Linked DNA regions of Arabidopsis thaliana. The protein of the gene in region 2 interacts with the protein of the main gene of each other region in a pairwise test. Each region holds a gene or a part of one and is shown on either strand. Other genes may lie near its edges.

Region 1 (3,537 bases), on a different chromosome or scaffold from region 2:
AACAAGAATCTCCTAGAGATGTAAAAAACAACACAAGTAGCTTCCAGCTAGTTCCTCCAGTAAGCGCCTAATCTTCCGAGTTCTTACAAAAATGATATTATATTGTTTCAAATTGAGAAAATTGAACCCAATCTATCAAAGAAACTTATTGTAATGGTTGTTGATTGCAGGGGATAGAGGAGAAGAGAGTAAGAAGTGAGAGAGAAGCTAGAGTTTGGAGATACAGAGATAAAAGGAAGAATCGTTTGTTCGAGAAGAAGATAAGGTACGAGGTTAGAAAGGTTAACGCCGACAAAAGGCCGAGAATGAAAGGTCGATTTGTCCGACGATCTTTAGCCATCGACTCTTAGGGAACAGATTCTCTCAGTTTCTTCTCCTTTGTGCCAAATAAAAAAAAGGCTACTCCAAAGAAACCAGAAGCTAATCAAAAGAACAAAAAAGCTCATGTGGAACATATTTCGTAGCTTTTGAATTTATCCCTACAATGACATGGTTACAACTTTATTCTTAAATCAATTTGAGAATTTAAATTTCATACTAGTAAAAGCTTCTCTTATGAGGTAAATCTCTTTATATAAGCAGTTAGTTACAAAAACCAAAACGAATTACAAACAACTTGTAACTCAAAGATTTGTAGTTTTGTACTAATACCGTTGGCCGTGTCAAGAAAGTATTCATAAAAACTTATCGATCCAATCAGTAGTACCATTAAACCAACTAAAATCATCATCCTCTGGATCTCCTAATAATCCAAGATCATCCATAGGAAAATCTTCTAACTTAAAATCATCTATCAACGGATCAAAATCAAGTAAATCATCGACGAATAAGTCCCCATTGGTCGATACGATTTTGGCATGTTGATTAACTTTAGTGTGATCCCCAATCTTAAATCCAAATGTTTTCTCCTTTCCTACTCTATCATTCTCCACAAAATCAAACTTGAAATCATCTACAATGGAAATAAATTCCACTGAATTGTAATCCACCCAAATATCATTTGCTTCAACAGCCGAATCACCAAAAATATCAGCAATTGACGATGTCATCAACGGATCTTCCAACATTTTACTAATCACTCCCTCTTCTTCATGATCAGCGTTATAACCACAACCAAATGGCTTCTGATCAGTAACAATTCTCTTATTTACCTTTTTGCAATTCGACTTCTCAGTAACTTCCTTCTCTTCTGGTTTACGTACACCGCACGGCTTGGTCAAATCTACTAGGTCTTTTTCCTGTTTAACTAAACCCAATCGTTCATCAAACTCTCTTTTACTCTTTTGGTAAGCTTCTGCTGCTTCTTCTTCAGTAGGAAACGTTCCAAGCCACTTTCTCTTCTTCTCAAACGGATTTCTTATCTCCGCCGCAAATTTCCCCCACGGCCTCCGTCGTACGCCTTTGAAACCCGACGACGTTTTCCGGTTTCCGGCTGCTTTATTCCCTGTAGAATTCGAAACGTTCTCATACCTTTTGATCAGCGTCGGGACACAGATCTTTGAGACGTAACGTTTCGGTGGTTTTGGTTTGATCTGACGGCGAGGATTATTGCCGGAGATAGATTCATCGTCGCTAGAGGAATCGGTGGCGTCTGGATCATTACAGATTACACTAATTGTTTTAATCAAGTTGAGATCGATGTTCTCTTCTCTGAAACTGATCATTGTTCTCTCTCCGACTAAACTCCGGTACTAAGTAACAGAATCTTACAATAAAAACCAAAAAAAAAACAATGTAGTGTTTTGAGTTGGTGATAGAGATAGAGATTAAAAACCTAAACATGGGAGAAAAACTTGAACAGAAAACATAGTTAAGATTCATCATCGTACCTTGTTATGGAGAGTGTGTCAAAAATAAAATTCAAGGAGCTTATGGCAAAGCTAAGGAAGACGAAACATAGAAGACGTTATTAATAGTTTATGAGAATTGTTTTGTTTTCCTTTTTAATTTTTGTTTAGATATAATCATAAAAGTAAAATCTGTAGTAAATATTAACGAGGATATCGGTAACTACCATATCTAAATTTACCATTTTTTTTTTTTTGTGATAGAAAAAGAAAGTTAATATTTTAGTAGGAAAAAATGGAAAATTGGGAATTCTCTGATGATATATTATAGTTCTTTTTTTCTTTGGTCCTAAAACTTCAATTGATATCACACTCTAATTTTTATTTTTTTGTATTTCTCGGAGAATAATTTGTAGACTACACATTAATGATTAAATAAAAAGTTTTTTATTTTCGATGGAGAAATCAACCATCTAAGTACGGAGAACACGTAAAATTGGGACTATCCAGAATCTCATAGGTTAATCTCAACCCTCAACTTATGATTTTGAGAAAATAACACACTTTTTTTTTTTTAACGGCAAATCGATTTTATTATATAGTTAAAGTTTACATGATACATAAGAAACATTCAAAAGCAACCTGAGAAAATAATACACTTATTCTATCAAAACTAGTAGTGATTTTTTTTTTTGTTATATTAACGAGTTTAATTTTCAAATCATTAGATTATTTTTTAAGTCACTACATCATAGTATATATATTTATCATCTTATATGTATAAAATGAAATTTCAAAACTTGATAAACATGATCCGATTAAGTTGAGACCTTCCAGTTTGAGTGTGTCGATAAACATAAAATTTTTGTTTTAAACAGTAGATTAAACTTTTAAAAAGACCGTACAACAAAAAGAAAAAACAAAACGCAAAAACGTTACAAAAAGAAAGACTAAAGAAACAAAACAAAATAAAAAGCATAATGAGTAGTATTAATGAGTTATACATTTTCCCATTAACATTTTCACATTTCCCCATTAACGAGTTAATGAGTCAAATCTACTTCTTACGAGTAAGACGTCTCTTCTTCTTAGATGATGTTTCTCCACCATGACCAAGAACAGATCCAATATCTTTCCTCTTATTATCAACAAGACAATTTCCATCCATAGACGAAACCGGAACTTCAAACCTTTCCATTTCCTTGAGAACAGCCCGAAGATTATCGGCTTCGCGTAAAGCAAAACTCACCGTCTTGCGTTCAATCAGTCCTTCAACATACTTGTACAAACCGCATTTCACTCCCTCTTTCCTACAAAAATCAAGAACTGCCTCTTCGTGCAAAACATTGATGGCTACACCGAATGCAGAAACTGGCCAGTACTTGTCTCGGAGACGAACACCAGTATCACTTTCTTTCTTCATGACCGCACGAGCTATCTTTAGTTCAGAGCTATACTCAGCAAATTGAGCGTTAAACGCTCTTATCATAGCCGATTCAGCAGCCGTCCTACCTTTTGATGTCGCTCGCCTCTTTAGCTTCTCGCTGCGTTGCACTTCCACAACGGCTTCAATACCGGCTTTTGTTTTCATCCATTAAACTTCGTAGATTTGACGGAGATTCATCTCGTGGCTTAGAGGACAAATCCCTAGTGAGTTTGCCTTGGCTAACACGCTATCGCGTATATGGGAAGATACTAAATTATATAATGACACTGAATTGAGGCGAGTGTGTGAAAAAAGTAGACTATT
Region 2 (4,116 bases):
AATCTTGAATACCTAATTTTTTCTGGTTAGCAAAGTGTTATACTTTCTTATTCTCTTGGGGCTATCTACTCTAATCACTTTTAAATGAGAGCTCTGCACACTTTAGTGTAAGCAATAATTGATTTATGAAGAGCGGCGAGGGGTGCAAATCACTGCTATCAATTAACGTATTTTTTTGTTGGCAAACTAGAAATTTTTTGAAAGTTAAGTCACCATCCCATTCTCACAAATTGTCTTTTACTGCTAAATACTTGGAACCATCACCATCCCTTTTCACATATGAGACTGTTCACGAGTACATGCATTGAGAAATTTCACCATGAATACACTCACTCACAAACGTAGGGCTTCACATATTGTAATCTTTGATGTAACAGAGGCTTTGATGCATTTGATTTGAGAATGCGTCTTCCTGACGTGGTTAGTACACTGTCCAAAGCTGCTAAGCAAAATGGAGAAGTTACATTCGTGCACACTGCACTGCACTACTGGAATGGGAAAGGGTTGTTTTTTGGTATATGGGCATGAAAGCTTATTGATTGTAACTCTGACACTGAAAGTAAAGTGTTAACATTGGATGGTAACAGGTGAATATTAGATAAAATGTTTGATGTCTTGCTACTAAACACATAACAACTGTAAAACCAAAGGCCCTTAGCCCATTATTATAATTTCTATTCAGCCCATCAAATAAAAGAGTTCTCGGAGAGTGTTTGTTGATCAATAGCCTTTTATTTTAGGTTGAAAAAAGTTTACACTAAATTAAAAGATATTCTGCACATGACTCGTGCTACAAAAGATGTACACGTGGAATAGATGTTACTTCCATAATATTCCGAAAAAAAGAAGAATTGAGTATCCATAGGTTATCAAATGAAGAAATTAAGAAGATACATAATCATTTGGATCAATATTGTCTTTAATCTTTTCTTCTAACTCAAACAACGACGATAAACAACAAACGTCTCTACCCTTCTCGCCTATCGAAGTCTCCGGCAAGAATCGTACGGACGTCGACGAATTCTCATCGGAGGACGAGTACAACGAGACCGGCCACGAAGATGAAAGAGAATCCTCCACGACGACGTCGGAATTAGGTTCTCCAGCAACATCTTTAGAAGGCCCTACTGCTAAGTTTAAGACCAAATCGACAAAGGCGGCGAAGATGTATCTATGGCTTGCCTTGACGTTGACTTTCAAGAACCAAAAGAGAAGTTTCTCCAGGCTTATCCAGTCATGATGAAGCACGTGTACTTCAACCATCTTTTCCATTGAGTTCTTGAAATCAGTGTAAGGATCGTTTGACTCCAAGGACAAGAGCATTAAACCGTCCTCTTCTTCTTCATGATCGTCTCTCTTGGTAGCTTCTTCGAGTATAGAGTTCGATGTTCCTCTCCGTTCAAAGATGAGTCTCTTCGATGATTTTAGTCCTTTAATCACATTCTCTATAGACTCTATCTCTGGTGGATTTTCTATAGCATGGCTTGTAGAGGAGAAGGAAGAGTAGGAGGAGGAGGAGGGGGAGGAGGAGAAGCTTCTCGGTGGTGGCTCGGGTTCGTAGACATCTTTAGGTTTGTTAACGATGAAGGAAGCTTTGGAAGATATTGTTTTAAGGTTTTGTTGATGAGAGGAAGGCCATGGCCACGAAGAGGAAGAAGATGATGAATTTGAAGAAAATGATGAAGATGATGTGTTCTTGTTTAGAAATGGGAGTTTCATTTTCCTTACCATTTTCCTTTTTGATTGCTGAAAAAATAAGACAAGACAAGAATGTAAATTTCTCTTTTCTTTTGGGGTTGGATTCAAAATTATAGGAGATTTATGGAATTAATGGTGAGAGAGGGAAGGAAGATTTTAAGGCTTTTGAAAAGGAGAGGAGAGGAGAGGCTGCACGAAAGGATGGGTGGGGAAAAGAAAAGAAACTTTATTTTATTTATTTTGATTTTTGAATTAAAACTTTTTTTGGTTAGTGTATTTAATTATTGGCACCAAATTTATTGTTGTTTGGTTGGGGATCATTCAATTTTTGTAAGTACAATTTTGATATTTGAATATCCAAAATCTATATATATTTGAAATCTTAAAATATTACATTAAATTTATTTATTGTTAATACATGGATGAGTCCTTAAAGTATATAAAATCACTTCAAAACTTAACTATTTTTTTCATGCATTTGATAGTTTTCCGTTAGTAGTACACAAATTCGTCACTGTTTGCAAATCAAATACACGATCGTATACATGCATATTATGGTAAATTTAAGTAACTTTATCTGAAATTGATAAAACTGTAATATGAAATTTAAAATGTTTCCTTGTTTGATAATATCAGAAAAAACAAAAATCAACTTTAGAAAATGGATGGAAATAATTTCGTATATCTGAATATGGAACGTAACTGAACTAGTGTCTGCCAAAGTTAATCAACATCAATGTTTGATTAATGTTCCTATTAAAGATTGACAGGCAACTGTTAATATAGATAGATACAACAACATGACATAAACGATCTTCAAAATAAATGAATTCAGCAATATCTTTTTTTTTTTGGAAAATAATGAATTCAACAATATCGCCAAAGTAGTTAATTGAAACTTGATACCTATACCTACCGAAAATAGCTATCATGATCATAATATTATAATTTATCCCTAATACTACCACTAAGCCATCATCCAAATTCCAAACCTTTGATTGGTAGTCTTTTTATTAAATTATATAAAAGATAGACCTTTTAATAAATGTTCAGTGTTAGTGTAACGTAATGTTTTAGACCTAAATATAGTACGAAGATCTAATTATTGTAAATTGAAATGAGAACAACGAATTTAAAACATATATTAATATATAGGTATGTACGTGTACGTATCCTACACTTTAAAATATAACACGAACTAATTAATATAAAGAGAATAATAAACTCAACGAACAGTCGAAGGAACCAACTAACTATCAAAAGATATGACGTCGATGCTAAACAGTTTTATAATTTCCGTGGTAGTCGCTTCAGCTGAAACATTTCCCGAATTCTTATAATAATTCTTTCTCATCTCTTTACCAAATCTGATACTGCTTTAATGTCTAGGACCTTCAAAGTTAAAGCATCGTGGCCATCGACTTGGCCGGTACGGCTTGAATACGAATATATCTAAAAGAAATTTGGATTGATCTACATCAAAAAGAAATTAGGATTCATCTACATCAACAAAAAAAATTAGGTTACAAATTTTGATCTGAGCCCAACCCAAATAGTTTAACGTTGGTATTTATTTTCGAGATTTGAAGTGTGTGAAAAATGAATAACGGAAAGAAAAAAATGGGGAAACTAGAGATTTGAACAAATGACCATTTAGGTCCAAAATTGATCAAAACTAGTTGACTATAACCTGTTATAATTAATTATCACTTATCTGATTAAAAATAAGTGAAAATACAACTGCAATAAAATGCGAGAGAGGAATCCAACAACAAAAATAAGAGAGAGACAAAAGTCTAAATGCTTACATATCTATCTTCACGTATTTCCTCATGGACAAATCTGTGTCAGACTTGTGTCACCCACAAACCTAATGTTAATTTTTTAATATACTTTCACTTTTATTCACTGTTTTAGCAGTTACATGCATATAACTACTAAATTTCAGCAGAAGAGTCATATGCTGATAGTGATAGAAACAGTCAACAGTTTCAGCTATACCGATCATGTTGCAGTTTTCGTCAAAAAAAGATTTTTATCAAGATTTGTGTCCAGTAGTGATCCAGTCATGTGTATCGAAAGACAATGGGATTAATGACCAAGTCGTACAATCTATTGGTTTGTATTTGTATCACATAGCAGTTAGACGATGAAATTTATTTGCAAATAACTATTTTCGTTAAATCAGGACTCTCGCTAGAGTCTAGACTGTGTACGTGTGTAAGTGTGTAACCATCCTTTGTTTTTGGTCTTTGTCGACGCCATACTTGCATATGATCCACCCACGAAAATACGTAACCTATCCATATCTAATAAAATGGAAGAAATTAAGGATTAATTATTACAATGAAAGATTCAAAACCATAGCTTCCGAGTTCCGATCTTACTTTTCATGATGGGCACATTAACGCATGCATG

What was found.
Region 1: the proteins of OFP18 (region 2) and CRF9 interact in a two-hybrid assay, tested with the Arabidopsis thaliana proteins (one large-scale study listed by BioGRID).

The regions. Positions count from the first base shown.
Region 1 is NC_003070.9:18,171,554-18,175,090, reverse strand, and holds CRF9 (Integrase-type DNA-binding superfamily protein), read right to left. Parts: upstream 1,665-3,537; coding exon 675-1,664; downstream 1-674. Other genes in the region: BBX17 (B-box type zinc finger protein with CCT domain-containing protein), read left to right, coding at 1-59, 171-350; AT1G49110 (uncharacterized protein), read right to left, coding at 2,845-3,378.
Region 2 is NC_003074.8:19,487,834-19,491,949, forward strand, and holds OFP18 (ovate family protein 18), read right to left. Parts: upstream 2,018-4,116; 5' UTR 1,732-2,017; coding exon 883-1,731; 3' UTR 713-882; downstream 1-712. UniProt on the Arabidopsis thaliana protein: Transcriptional repressor that regulates multiple aspects of plant growth and development through the regulation of BEL1-LIKE (BLH) and KNOX TALE (KNAT) homeodomain transcription factors.